2 linked regions of the Tamandua tetradactyla genome follow. The protein of the gene in region 1 purifies or fractionates together with the protein of each later gene. This does not show direct contact. Links are inferred from orthologs where the notes say so. Each region holds a gene or a part of one and is shown in the gene's direction. Other genes may lie near its edges.

Region 1 (7,340 bases):
TGCAGTCACTTTTGCCTTCCTCGTGGGTTCCCAGATGTCCCTGCTTCGTGCCTTCTGCTATATGGCAGCCCAGCTCCTGGGAGCAGTGGCTGGGGCTGCCGTGCTGTATAGTGTTACCCCGCCTGCCGTCCGAGGAAATTTAGCACTTAACACGGTAATGTTTGGCTGAGAGGGGCTGTGACACCTAGTATTCTGAATCCCTGACTGGTGCGGGTGGATCAGTTCCCTGGGTTCTGGGACGTGTGTGTGTGTGTGTGTGTGTGTGTGTGTGTGTGTGTGTGTGTGTGTGTGTGTGTGTGTGTGTGTGTGTGTGTGTGTGTGTGTGTGTGTGTGTGTGTGTGTTTGCATGTGCCTGTTTCAGGGTGGGGAAGATTAGCCAGTGATATGGAGGGGTAAGGAAGGCATAGAACTCCCAACTGAGAATCAAGGAAACTGAATTCAGGTCCCAGGTTTCCTCCCATCTCCTTGCTGGGTCTTGAGGAAATTTTTTTTATCTTAGGGACCTCAGTTTCCCCATCAGTGCGAGTGAAATTATTTCTACCTTGAAGGAGTATTGTTAGGACAAATTAAGAAACAAATATAATTATTATGAAGGGGGTTGTATTATCATTCCTTTCCAGGGAACTGATGCCATAAGGGGATCCTTGCCTGGGAAGCCTTGAGGAGGTAACACGGTGACAGCCTAATAGGTGCCTTCCGTCTTCTTTCTTTGGCCAGTTGCACCCTGGGGTGAGTGTGGGCCAGGCTACCATGGTGGAGATCTTCCTGACACTCCAGTTTGTGCTCTGCATCTTTGCCACATATGACGAGAGGCGGAATGGCCGCCTGGGCTCTGTGGCCCTGGCTGTTGGCTTCTCCCTCACCCTGGGGCACCTCTTTGGGGTAAGCAGAGGAGGCAAACAACTTCTCATTCAGGGATTCCAGGGCCCCCAAACCTTCCCCAACTTTTCAAGGTTCTTCCCATCCACTTTACTCTGCATCTCCCTGCCTTATTCCTCTCCCTTATGACTGCCATATCAAGTCCTTCTGGACCCTAAGGTGGAAATGCCTGAATCACAGGGAAATATGGGCTTTGTCTTGAGCTCATAGCCTCTTCCCAGATAGCAAGCACATCAGTGCCCTTACCCATTATGGGGACCTTTAAAGAGACGTGCAAGTTGTGCTTCCCTACTTGTTGCTGACTGGAGACAAGGTACCAGATCTCGGGGGCAAACTGGGTTGTGGAGAGAAGAGATGGGATGAAATGGAGAGGGTGTTTCAGTTACAACTGTGTCTTTTACAGATATACTATACCGGTGCAGGCATGAACCCTGCCCGCTCCTTTGCTCCTGCCATTCTCACCCGAAATTTCACCAACCACTGGGTGAGTTAAAGGAGAGGGGCAAAATCCTGAATCTCTTCTGAATGGGTGTGGGCTGCAGGTTCCAGGTTTGTTTCCAGCTTTCTATCTGGACATATTGGCTGTTCTACTTGGCACCTCAGCCAAGGGGACTGTCAGAGAGTTTGGCATGCCTATGTGAGCAGGATTCATCATTTTGCTGGGAAGAGAGGCTCTTGCTCATACTGTTCTTTTTCTTATAGTCAGAAGATTTTACTGAGTACCAGTGGATACCAAAATTAGGGGCTATAAAGCCAGAGAACTGAATATGAAGATAGAAACCTCTGTCTAGCACTTTACTAGCCTGGGTGTAACCTTGGGCAAGTAATGCAATCATCCTAAACCTTGGTTTCTTTAACTATAGGATGGCTGTCATGAGAAATGTGAAAGTTACATGTGGGAAACATTTAGCATAGAATCTGGTATGGAGTAGGGTCCTCAATAAATATTAGCTATGATTAAGTTGTTGGCTATAGACAAACCAAACATTTGAAAATAATTCAATTTTTTTCAAAAGAACATTTAAACTGTGTAAATAGATAACAACAAATTGAATATATGTGTGTTAAGAAAATGTGGGACAAAGGAATGATTTGATGAATGAAAAAATAAATGTGAGTTTTGAGATACAGGCAATGGAGCACAGCCTAGGAGTTAAAGAACAAACGAACACTCACTGATTTCTGCTTAAATAGTACCCAGTTTTATACACCAAGTCCAGGATGCCTGTTTTCCACTGAGAGGGTTGGGAAAAAAAGCAGCCTTCTTCTTAATCCCCTCCCCAAATCTGAGTATTCCTTTCCTTTTCCTGCAGGTGTTCTGGGTGGGCCCAATCATTGGAGGGGCCCTGGGCAGCCTCATCTATGACTTTCTCCTCTTCCCCCGACTCAAGAATGTTTCTGAGAGACTCTCTATCCTCAAAGGTGCCAGACCCAGTGACCCCAATGGACAACAAGAGGGCACAGGGGAACCTGTTGAACTGAAGACCCAGGCCCTGTAAAAGCTCCAGCTGGATACAAGGAGTAGGAAGCTTCTAGGTTTAAATGCAGAGGCTGATTCAGCCCCTAGATGAAGAAAGACTGTGGGGACAGACATGTACTTCTTTATTTTTAAATTTACATGTGGATGTGTGTGTTTTTTCCCCTTTTGCCGTGTGAAATTTTTCAAGTTGCATTCATGAGCTGGTTGGTGCAAACTTTCCTTTCTCCTTCCCCATCTCACCTCCCTTCGCCGTGTGTGCATGATTGTGGGTATGAATGTGGGTGAGTGTGGCTGTGTCTGAGTTTTGGGGCATGAAAGCTAGGGAAGGGAAAAGTGATATCATCCTATGCCTTCCTCCTCCACTCAGTGTGGTGAACACAGGGAACCAAGACTTCAAGTTTCGGGCCTATAGTCTGCTATTAGTCAAGTGTGTGCTTTTTGGTTTCTAAGAGAGAAAAAAGGTGTTACTCCTCACAGGAGGCAGATGGAAAGAAGTGGGGAAACAAGGCATTCCAGTATTTCTCTGGAATGAGAAGGGGCTCAACATTTCTCTGGAATGAGGCTAAGATGCTTGTGGTTGTAGGAATGGTGGTAGCGGTGGGAGACGAGACGGAGAGGGGATAGGAAATGGAGGTATAAACCCCAGACCAGGATGTAATTGCACCACAAAGTTTTGGGGAAATTCATGGGAAAGTATAGCTTATTTATCTCAGGGATGGCTTGCCCCAGGGACTCGGGTGGGGAAGTAGCTTTGAGAAAAAAGAGCACTGGGATACTGGGATTTGAGCTGTTCTGTAAAGCCTCATAAACCTGTCTACGTCCACCGGCTGGCTTGTGTGTTCATTCTGGTGTGGGCCAGCAAGTTCCCAATTAAAAAAATAGGAGCGGATGAGACCAGAATTTAGAAAAATAAAGTTTAGCTGCTCTGCCTGACATCTCCCTTTCCCCCAGAATGGTCTCCTGACAGACAGTACTTAAGCCCCATAAGAGCTTTCTAAGGTCAAAACAGGAATTGGGATGCCGGGAGGAAAACGGTGGAGGTTGGGGAAGATGCATGCTTTGACCCTCAGGGTTTTAACTCAGTCACTGCATCGCCTGCCATGCCGGAGACCCGGATTCGATTCCCGGTGCCTGACCATGCAAAAAAACAAACAAAAAAAAGACATCTTTCTGCTTTTATCACTAATTCTATAGTTCCCTTTATGTTCCTTTTGTGGGTATCTTTTTCATTTTTCTCATCTGCCCTTTCATTTCGCAGCAAACCGCCTCTCTCACACATCCCAGAAATAGACTCCATCTATTTAGATGCTTAATAATTCAAGAGGTAATTATTCGTTTGAGCCCTATCCTTTTTTGTGGTAAGCAAAATACACTCATCTCAGCAGAGGCCAGAGGAGACTCAATTGACCAATGAACATTTAGTGTTGATCTCTTACTTTTATGAGCCAACTGCACACGTCGCAAACTCTAAGCCTGTTCCTACAATATGACAGATTCAAACAAACAAAATACAACAGAAAACATAAAGAACAAACCCTCTCTTTTCCGGACCTCTGCTTTCCACCTCCTCCCAAATAAAGCCTAACTTTTCTAAGTAACCAATCAAAACTTTGGAATAGTCTACTTGTCTAGGAGAAGGGGAAAACTATTTGTAACTTTACTCCTAATCAGACTTTTATTCCTCTTATGTTAAATCAGCAGAAAGTTCATAGCAGTGTGCTTTTTAACGCAATGGAGGGGATCGTCACAGATAAAACAGAACTTGCGCTCTCTTTCCATTTTCTTACTCCATCACCAACCCCCCTGCCCACTCGTATCACGTGGACCAGCCCGCCAAGCCACGCCCCTCTCCTCAGACTGGCGGGGACTGGTCGAGCCGAGTCTAGTGGCGGGAAACGCTGCGGCCCAGCGCCTCTGGGCTGCTGCCTCTACGAGCATCCCGAGGACCCGCGGGGAGCGAATGAGTGAGTGTGTGGGTAGGAGGGCTCTAATCGGACACGGTCGGGTCCCTTTGAAGCTGCGGGGACACTTCTGTGAGGCACCGAGTCCCTGTCCCGCCTCTCTGCTTAAAGGCAGGGAGCGGGGCGGGCGCTCTTGGCGCGCACGCGCAGTTTCGCGCGCTGCGTTCTTCGCCCCGAAGCCGCTGCGTTCCGAATCCGCGCTGGGCACTCTAATCGGTGCATTCCTTCCCGCGTCAAGGGGACCGCCCTGTCCTCGCTCTGCTCAGTTGGTCCTCGCGCGGGCTTAGGGCTGCGATGGGAAAAAAGAATAGATGGTTCCGGAGACTTAAACTTTGAAACACCCCGTTCCGTTCACCCGAAACAACAGGTCTGCGGCTTGGTGGTCATCGGGTTGGAATTTAAGTCATTTAACTTACATCTTTGGTTTTGACAAAACGGACTCCTTATTTCTTCCTCACATTTTCCTCCTTTCCTTTGGACAGCAGGCTTAAAGGAGGACACGGCCTTTGCCTGGGTTTGTTGCCTAGACCATCATTCACTAATGAAGTTTCTTCCCTTGAGTTTCAGTTCTTTATGTCATGCCCTTCATGCTGCCACCAGTTATCTTTATAAAAAGATCAATCTGATGATTTCAGATTAAATTAAAATTTCCTCCTTGGTCACCCATAGTCAGGCTTAAATCCTTAAGTGGGCATACAGGGCCTTTCAAAACAGTTTGACCCTGAGCCTCTCATTTCAGCCTTATTTTCTAAACCTCCCTAAATATTTTCCTTTCTCATGTACGGGACTCACCAGCCACATGGAAAGGATGCCATCTGCCTTGGGCTCTTTCGTGCTGTCCCTACTACTGTGCTGTGCACTGTGCCCAGTGCCAGCGGTACAGAAATGAATAAACAGTGTCAGGCTTTAAGGATCTTTGCGGTTACTGGGTGATGAAAAGTTTGCCCTGGCTTCCATACCCCACACGCTTGTGGGTAAGATTATCTCCTTTCACAACTTCACACTCCATTTTATATCCTAATTCCTTCAAATCTCCAGCTTCATCCTCTCCACCCTCAGGTCAAGACATGTCTGTTTCAGTTCAGTTTGATAAGTATGGAGCACCTCCTATGTGTTGGTCATGATGATTCCTGCTCTCAAGGAGTTTACATTTTAGTGATGTTATTAAGATAAGATCGAGTTAAAATTACCTGAGGAACATTTTCAAAACACTCTTCCCCAAGTCTCACCCCCTGTATCTTTTGATTCAGTATCTATGCTCTGAAAATTCAAAGATGAAAAAGGAACAATTCCTGCCACAGGGAATCTAAGGCTAATGGAAGGTGGCAGACATTTTAAGCAGAATCTGTTTTACCTATTATATGTACAACATGAAATGCGGGTGCCTGGACAGAAGTCTATATATGGCACAAAGTAGACACAAAGGAGAAAGTGATTGCTTTTGTATGGAGAAGTCCGGAGAAAGAATCATTTGGCAGTCTTAAAAGATGAATTGGGAGAAGGGCATTCTGGACAGAGGAGTATCTTGAGAGAGAAGACTTCAGAGGTGATCAGCAGGCAGATCATGCTAATGATTTTATATTGTAGGCATTGAAAACCGCTGAAGTTTCAGTCTTATGGCTGTTGTTTTGACTTAAATTATGATGTATGTAATGGTAAACAATTTAAATAGTACCAAACTGAAAGATAAATATTTCCCCTACTGTGGCCTCCCATTTGAAGGGTTTTAAGCAGGGTGATTGTATGGCCAAATTTGGTAACCATGTGGAAGTTAGATTTAAAGGAACAAGACTGGAAGCAGGAAAAGAGGTTAAGAAAGCAGTTGAGTAATTAAGCAAGAGATATTCAGGACCCAAGTTGGATAGTGATTGCCTATGGCAGGCATAGGAATGAGGTGTGACTGTAAATGGCCTTGAGGTTTTGAATATTAGATTGTGATGATGGTTGTACAATACTGTAAACATAATAAAATTAATTGAATTGTATACTTAAAAAAAAAGAGCCATTCAGGACTTGAACAAGGCAGTAGCAATGGTGATGGATAGCAGCTGGGTAGGATAGTTTAAGGAGGCAGAAATTAGCCAGAATCAGTGATCCATTCAGTGTTAGGAGTTAAGTTGATGAAGGCATCTAGGATGACTCTAAGGTTTCTTCTAACTTGAAAGACTGAGTAGATAATAGTGCCAGTCCCTGAGAGGTCCAAAAACAAAAAAGATGAAGAATTCGGTTTTGGACATGTTGAGTGTGAGGCATTTTTGAGATATGAAGAGGGAGAATGCTCTCCATTAATCAGTTTAACATGTGGTATTGGTACTGGACGAGCTCACAGGAGCCAGAGACAGGTGGTAGTTGAAAGTATGGGAATGGATAAGTTTGCCCAGGAATCAGTATAATGAGATACGATGAAGACTGAACATGCAGGCCTATTGAACATCAGCATTTAAGGTGGAGAGGAGGAACAGTCACGGGGGCAGGTTTGCTTTATTCTGTTCACCCCCCCCCCCCCAATTCCCAATGTATGTAGATGGAACAGTATAAAGGGAAGGTTGGAAATAATTGAGGAACAACCACCTAAGGGATGGAAAGTGATTGAACAAAATCACAAATGGAGGGTTTAGATTAGAAGCATAGAGCGGAGGGTGGGTATTTGAGATATAATGTATGTTTTTTAGGCCAGGGTGACGAGGATTTGAGAGTTCATGGATTTGAGAGTTCATGCCTGATAACTTTGATTGCTACTAAGAGGAAGGAAGCAGAAACACCAGTTGAGAGGTGTGGGATACAGTGGAATAAAGGGGCTTAAGGATAGTGGTGAAGGTTAGAAACAGCTGTTTCTTGGAAAAGAGAAAGCTAACAGGAAAACTAAAAAGGATTTCTAGATCAGGCTGAGGGCTCGGCCAAGGTTGGAGACTACACATCTGTTATATGTCATATGCATTTTTTTATGCATAAACACAGAAAATACTGAGTTCTCATATATAAATACCACTGTATTGTTAACACCTTGCATTAGTGTACGT
Region 2 (8,072 bases), on another chromosome or scaffold:
GATCTTGAACTCCAGTGGAAATTGATGAGGATTTGAGTCAATTTTACTTAACCTTTGAGGGATAGGGAGAACCTAGTTGATTCTCTAGGTCATTGGTGACCCAGAAATGACACCACCTCCAATATTGTAAATTTAAACACTCCACCCTTTGATCACAACCTGCTATTGTTCCAGCTTACTTGCTCAAGCGCTTTCCTGGAAGCAAACCCTAGGCCCCATCAAGAGCTCAAATTCATTTAAGCCTCCACTTTCAAGTCTCCTCCTGTCATTGTCCCATACAGTTTAGATGTTAAGGTCCATTGCTTCCTGTAAATACTTCAACTCTCTTGTCCCTTTTTGTTTTCATTGCACTTTGCTGGGAAAACTTCAAACCTGGAATGACAAAGTCATCTTCTCTGATTCTTAAATCCCTACCACAAATACCCTTCATATTAGAGTGGAGAGAAATGCTCCACCCTCCCATGGAAAGCTAGTCCCTTCAGCTGTGACCTGGATCTCATTCCCTCCATGCTTTCAATGCCTTTGCCCCTTTGATTAACTCACACACACACAAACATACATACACACACACGTGTTACATATATAAGAATGTGAAGATAAGAATGCTCAATAGCAGAACTATTCATAGTTGCAAAAAAACTGGAAACATTCCAAAGCTCACTGATAAGAGAATGACTAAACAAAGTATGATATATGCTGTAATAGAATAGTGTACAGCAGTGAAAAGTCTCTCAACTACAGTTGTATGAAACAGCTTGGAAGAATCACAGATCAAAAAGTTGAGTGAGAAAAGCAAGTCAAACAATTTTTATGAGGCTCAAAAACAAACAACTGTTTGTATGGTTTAGGCCATACATATATACCAAGACTATATTTAAAAGGAAAGGAATGATAATTCAGGATAGTGGTGGTCTCATGAGGGTGGGGGGTCCAGGGAGAAGGGAGAAGGTGTAAACACAGGTAAATGCAAAATATTGGCTAGTTTTCGAGTTGGATGGCATGCACACAAGAGTAGATCACATTATCATGCTTTCAACATTCATAAATATTACATGTATTTTTTGTTATGTATCAAATATTATGTAAAATAATATTTTAAAATTTGGGAGGTATGAAAAAGAGAAGAATCTGTGATGAGACCTTTCTGTTCAAAATAACTATCTCAACCTTAGTTTTTACTCTTCCCAACACCACCATCAGAGTCAATTAGGTCAGTCTCCTTATTAAACTTAATAATTCCTTTATGCTACTGCTATTTCCCTGCTCTCATCACACCTTCCTATCCATCTATCTAAATCCTACCTAATTCCAAGATTCAGCTCAAGGTCTATGTAATTCCAAAGTCTTCTCTTACTACCCCATCTCTCATTTCTTTCTTTCCCTGAACAGCTTTCTAGCATTTACCAACCTGTGGATTCCAAGGAAATCAGCATTTAATTATATTGCTTATAATCAGTTGATAACCATTATAGTTCTTGGTTGTGAATGACATTACTAGTTTAAATGCAAAATAAATTTATTAAAGAATACAGATGGCTCCCTAGTATAGCTGAGTGGGCAGAAAACAAGGCTTGACATCTATATCGACTAATGCCAAAATTACGCTGATCTACTGCTTCAGTGGTGCCCGTACTGGTGCCACCAATGGGACTTATCCCTGACACATGGCCTCTAGTACCTCTAGCCTTGCTGCCCTTGGAAGCTGGCTAATTTCTAGCCAGGATGGATTCCAAGCAGTGCCTCCATCTTCACATCTCTCTCCTTTGACCTGAAATCTCATCCAGGTGTGGAAATAGGATACTCAGTACACACCCAATCACAAGGGACAAAGGGAGGATGAGTTTTTCATTTCTATCCTAAGCAGGGATGAACTCATAATGTAAGGGGAGCCCCTCAAAATAGAAAGGGTGATCAAAGACGATCTCTTTGATATCTTACATATTTGATTGTAAGTTTATTAAGAACAAGGACCCTAGTTTATACCTATATTACATAACAGTCATAAACACCTGTTGATTTATTGTTCTAGTCTTTCGTATCCACCATTAAAACAGTACCTTTCGGATCATCTAATTCAACACCTTTTGTATTACAAAAGTGCAAACAGACTCAGAGCATAAAGTAGTTTGATCATGGTCATGCTTTTAGTTATTATTGGACCTGACATTCTGGTTTGAGGATGGATTCTGGGAAAGATTCCCAAAGGTATAAGACAATGTACAGTTTACTTGAGTCTTCCTGTGTTGCGAATTGCTCATGTGCAGTCTTGTGAAAGTACATTCTTAATATTTTTTTGGAAACACTCCAAAATTGTAAATTGGCAAAATTAATATGGAAGTTAAATTTTTTTCTAGTTTGCTATTTGTGGCAGAGTAGGCCAGTTGTCTGTCACCATTTCTTCTCTCCTACTTCCAAGTAGTTGCAAGCCTGAATTTTAACTGGGCACGTGGCCACTAAGACTACATTCCCAGACTCTCTTGCAGCTAGGTGTGGACATGTAATCACATTCTGGATAATGGGATGTAGTAGAACCGTTATATGCAACTTCTGGGAAATGTTCTTAAAATATGGGAACATGCTTTTTTCTCTCCTTCCTACTTCCTGCTGACTGGAAAGAGGCTGGAGTTCTAGAAGCCACCTCGGACCATGATGAGGACTTGAGAATGAAACATCCATGTAGAATGCTTGCTGGTAAAGCAAGAAGTCAGGGGATAGAACACCATTCTAACACCGGACTTAGCCACCTCCAGACTTCATGTAAACTTGTTTATCATTATTTTAGTTGATTTTCATTCTTTCTGTTACTCGCAGTTGAAATTAATACTAACAAATTCACTATTCATAAACCCTAGCCTGGGCCCAAACAGAATTACTTATTAAAATTTTAACATTTTCTAAAAGGATCAAATATTCTAATAATTATATGGATAATAACAGCTAATATTTATTAAATAGTATCATTGAATTCTAACAAGTCTATGTAGGTACCCTTAACAACTTAGTGAATCACAAAGACACTGATAAATGGAACTCAGATTCAAACCCTCAGAGCTTCCCTCTGTTGTTCTTTTGTTTTGGGGGGGCTGGGGAGTGTGGTGTGTGTTTTAGTTTGCAAGAACTGCTGGAATGCAATATACCAGAAATGGAATGGCTTTTAAAAGGGGGAATTAGTAAGTTGCAAGTTTACAGTTCTAAGATCATGAAAATGTCAAAATTACAGTAAGGCTAAAAGAGTGTCCAAATAAAGGCATTCAGGAAAGGATACCCTGGTTCAAGAAGGCCGAGATGTTCAGGGTTTCTCTCTCAACAGGAAAGACACATGGCCATGTCTGCTGGATATCTCTCCAGGCTTTTCCAATGGCTTCCCCAGGGGCGTTTTCTTTCTTCATCTCCAACCGCCTCTGGCTGTGTGGGCTCTGTTGACTCCCGTGGCTCTAAAGCTTTTTCCAAAATGGTTCCTTCTTAAAGGGCTGGAGTAAGCTACCCCACTTTGAATTGGTGGAGATGCATCTCCATGGAAACCGTCTAACCAAAGTTACCCTCCCCCCACCAAAAAAAGTTACCACGTGGGTCATATCTCCATGGAAACAATAAAAAAGATTCCACCCAGCAACATTGAATGAAGATTAAAGGACATGGCTTTTTTTTGGTACATAATAGCTTCAAATCAGCACAGGATGGGATACAATTTTTCAAAGTGCTTTTACATTTACCTTTTAGGTATTACAAAGTGGAGAGTATATGCTATTATCTGGATAATATTATCTGTCTCAGTTATTCAGACTATTCAAGTTGACATATTTCTAGTTCAAATTAATGTTAATTGTTAATTGTCTTTATGTTATCTTGCATACATAAAATAAAACCATAAAAATTAAGAAAAATGTGGTACATATACATATTCACATACATAATTTTAGGCAGATGGAATTTGCAATTTTACATACCATATTGTTTTTACAATTTGATTCATCTCTTCAAATTTTAAATATCTCAAGCTTCATAGAAGTATAGAGATTTGTCATATCTTAATGATGCTTTCAGTATTTGCTGAAGGTAACATATTATTTATTTTTTGCATGAGCAGGCACCAGGAATTGAACCCAGATCACCGACATAGCAGGCGAGAACTCTGCCACTAAGCCATCATCACACCCCAGGAAGACACATTTTAAAAAATAGTTTTTGGTTTTGGTTTTTTTTTTGGCATGGGCAGACTCCGAAATCGAACCGGGTCTCCCGCATGGAAGGCGAGAATTCTGTCACTGAGCCACAGTTGCCCGCCCAAATTTAGTTTTCTGAATAGTTAAAATTTACATATTCAAAAATAAATAGAGGGCGGTGGACAGTGGCTCAGTGGTGGAATTCTCACTGGCATGCCGCAGGCCCAGATTCAATTCCCGGTGCCTGCCAATGTAAAAAAAAAAAAAGAAGAAAAATTAAGTCCCCAACTTACCTCATCCCATACTTTCAGTTTCCACACTACAAATATTAGTTATATATTGATTTTTGTGTCGCCAGTTTTTTTTTTTTTTGGTGTTTGTAAGCGTCTGTGTACACAAGCAAATGTGAATATACTTGGATTTGCTTTTTTCTTAACAAAAAGGTAACATTTTGACTTTCTTCTTTGTGTCTACACTCCTAGTCTCTAATTCTCTCCCAGCTCTTTCCTCGGCTCCTTATTCAATAAGCAATTAATAAAACTATTGTGCTGAAAGCATTGCTGCTATTAACTTTGAAGAATTGGTAGTTTCTCATCAAATACTGTTTGCCTTTTATCTTTTTCACTCTATTCACAATCCAATTTTCTCAAAAACCGAAACCTACTTCAGAGTCTAATTACCTAGAGCGTAACAAATATGAACTTTACGTAAATAAGGAGGCTTAATTCCGGTGAGAAATTCATGAGCGCGGAACCGATAGTGAAACGGGAGTCAGTTTCGGGAGGGACCCCAGAAATGTGGGGACCAACAAGGACCGGCCGGATCTGGGGAAGGCGGGAGGACGAGCGCTTCCGGTGGGCTCCGCCCTGCCGCCCTCCGTAGATTTGGCGCCAAACGCCCAGGGTGCTGCTCGTGGCAGGAAGCTCGGGTGTCGCGAGAGGCGCGGTTTGCTGCCACCTAAGGCAAGCGCCAGGCAGTGGTTCCTGTAGCATGCGTGAGGTGAGATCGGGCTGGCCGGCGAGTGAAGCTCTTGAGGGAAGAGGCGGCCTTGGGAGCCAGGCGTAGGTGCAGAAGAGCTGGTGAGTCGCAGGAAGGGGTTGAGGAAGCTGGAGGACTGGACTGAGGCGGCCCGACAGGGACTGGAGAGGAGAGGCGACCTGACCGGCCTCTTCCTATGGGGCTAGGAAGCAACTGGCATGACGGCAGATTCGTTGTGTGTTTCTGGCCTGTCAGTAAACGGAACCTTTTAGCTGTAGGGAGCCTTTCTGCCACGTCTTTGTATCCCGAGTTTCTGTGCAGGGGCTTCTGAACGTAGAAAGCAGCCTCTGAATGTTGAATCAATGAAGTGAGAACAGACGGGAGCGAGGATGGGAGGAGAGAAGGTTGGCGCAGAGGAGAGCGGGGATGGGAGGCTTTTTGGGGAGATAGCAGGAGGGAACATGGAAGCAGCCTGTTAGGACTTCCTTGGCGACAAGGGGCTTCTGTTTTGACGCCTTGGGAAAAGACTTGGACAATGCGAAGCAGAAATGTGTGCGAATGAATTGTGGTTTGTATACTGGATTTCTTTTGTTACTTTCACTCTTCTGGGAGTTTGAGGTCTAGGCGATTATATCAGTGTCTAAAACTAGTATGCCTGGTCAAGAAGTGAAATATATAGGTATCTTACTCCAAATATGAAGAGAAAAATCAATTTACTGGCAACCCAGCTCTATGCTTCAGTTCGATATTAAGTGATCTTGCCACAGTTTATATTGTTTGTACCCTGTCCTCAAAGTCAAATTCTCCTTCAGCCTCAGAGGTCTGACCCTATTTCCCAGAGGACTTTACTAGAATGGGGCTAAATATATTTGTTATAGATGGGAAGCTGTTTGAGATTATGTGCACTCTCCCTGCCTTTCCAGTTTTGAAAATCTGTGGTTCTTTTATCTTTCTTGATAGTGGGTCATCATCAGGAATTGATACTTTATGTTTTTATGAGTTTATGGCCATAGAAACTTAGAACGACTTTAGAGCTTGTTAGTTCCAATGGTTTTACAGTTTTGGTTGAACTTTGGAGTTCTTTTCTTTCATTTCTTCATTCAACAGATATTAACACCTGCGTGTAGCAGTAATGAGGCGCTAACAGACCTACTTGGTCTTTGCCCCTTAGAGGTGCAGTCTAGTATGGGAGACAAATACTAATCAGATAATTACACAAATAAAACAATATTGAAACTGGATGAGTACTATGAAAAAGAGGTATTTGATACTATGAATGCTTATAGGAGGATTTAATTTAGGAAAATTTGGATAGGCTTTTCTGAGGAGATGGCAGTTGGGGTCTGAGATCTGAAATTAGGAGTCAGGAAAGAGCGTTCAAGACAGAAAACAACATTTGCAAAAATCCAGTGGATCAGGCAATAGTCAAGGAACTGAAAGAAGGTCAACAAGGATAGAGGAAAAAGTGTTGGAGAGTGGTGTGAGCTGAGACTAGAGAGGAAGGAAGGGGCCAGACAATGCAGGAGTTTTATTTTTATCCTAAAAACAGTAGCCTTGTTGTAATGTCTTTAGATTTACATTTCCAAAGATTCAGTCCAGCTGAAATATAGAGGCAGAAGTAGACGGGAATAGTGGATTACTCCCAGCAAGAAATGATGAGAAGTGGTGGTGGAGGTAGGGAAAAATGGACAGATTTCAGGGATATTTAGGAAATAAAATGAATGATGTATGTGGGCTGTGGAGAAGTGTCAAGGATGACACCTAGGTTTCTGCTTAGATAGATGTCATTCACTGAGTAGGGAAAGTTTAAAAGTTCAGTTCGCACATGAGGAGGTATAGATGCCTTTGAAACACTGAAGGGCTAAAGTGGGAAGTAGGGATCTGGAGCTCAGAATTGAGGCCAAGGGTGAAGATGAAAATCAGTGAGCTGTCTATAAGTAAATGATTAAAGCCATATACATAAATGAGCAAAAAGGGCCTAGGTTTGAGTCTTGGATATTTAGCGGCCAAGTTAGAGAAAGATGAACCTGCAGAAGAGATCCAAGAGGCGTGTCCAGAAAGGGAGGAGAACCAGGTAAGTACTATATGTCAAGAGATACATTTTTCAAGAAAAGAGTTAAAAGTTGCTGAGAGGTCAAGAAAGATGATATAGAAAAACATTCTTTTGAGTTACCAAGCTGAGGATAATTTCCCTTTCTCCAAAGGAAACATTACCTTAAACAATATATAAACAGATTTTTTTTTTAAAAGCTGCCCTCCTTGTGGTAGGAGTGAGGTACCCATCTCCCTATTTCATACCTATTTGAATCAGAGTTTGACACCCTCTGAAAAATTAGAAATCATTATATTGTGGTAGGGGAAACCCAGCAGTTGGGTAAAATGATTTGCTCAAAATCAGATTGTTATTTAGCAGTAGGGTCTACATTACAACTCAAGTTACTTTGATTTCTGTTCAGATTCTTTTTCCATAATTATCATCTTCTCCACTTATTTTCATGATGTATGAGTTTGAAATGTGGTTTAACTGATTGAAACGTGAATTTTGTTGCAGATGGAACTTGACTGTATTATGGGTGAATGACTAATATTTTCACTCTTTATTTTTCCCCCACTAGAGAACAAAATGCTGGAACCACAGGAGAACAGCTTGATTGACCTACCAGATTATGATCCTATAGGAGATGAAATTTTTCCTCCTTTTCCACCTCCAGCCTCTCCAGAGAGAGAAGATGGTGAGGGTGCTGGACCTGATGAAGGTCTGTATAGGGACTTTCAGAAAAGTTTCCATGCTCATTTATCTATCAACTTAGATAATAAAGGTGAAACTGTCAAGTAATATTAAATCTTGTTGTATGTCACCAGAATCAGGGAGAGGAGCACCTGTTCCTATACCTCCAAAGAGAATTGTTAAAAGGAATTTACCCAAGTTGG

The links. The genes of interacting proteins can lie anywhere in the genome.
Region 2: the proteins of TIMELESS (region 1) and TIPIN purify together in Homo sapiens (affinity purification with western blotting; 6 studies listed by BioGRID and IntAct, counting the BioPlex papers as one, with this or other methods). This does not show direct contact. The link is inferred for Tamandua tetradactyla from reciprocal best matches to the Homo sapiens genes TIMELESS and TIPIN.

Annotation. Positions count from the first base shown.
Region 1 is NC_135333.1:123,518,210-123,525,549, reverse strand, and holds the start of TIMELESS (protein timeless homolog), read left to right. Parts: upstream 1-4,191; 5' UTR 4,192-4,319; coding exon of another isoform or gene 4,320-4,323; intron 4,324-4,552; exon of another isoform or gene 4,553-4,609; intron 4,610-7,340. Other genes in the region: MIP (lens fiber major intrinsic protein), read left to right, coding at 1-154, 718-882, 1,283-1,363, 2,193-2,378. UniProt on the Homo sapiens protein: Plays an important role in the control of DNA replication, maintenance of replication fork stability, maintenance of genome stability throughout normal DNA replication, DNA repair and in the regulation of the circadian clock.
Region 2 is NC_135340.1:83,377,107-83,385,178, reverse strand, and holds the start of TIPIN (TIMELESS-interacting protein), read left to right. Parts: upstream 1-5,008; 5' UTR 5,009-5,162; exon of another isoform or gene 5,163-5,242; intron 5,243-5,305; exon of another isoform or gene 5,306-7,215; intron 7,216-7,756; 5' UTR 7,757-7,764; coding exon 7,765-7,897; intron 7,898-8,003; coding exon 8,004-8,072.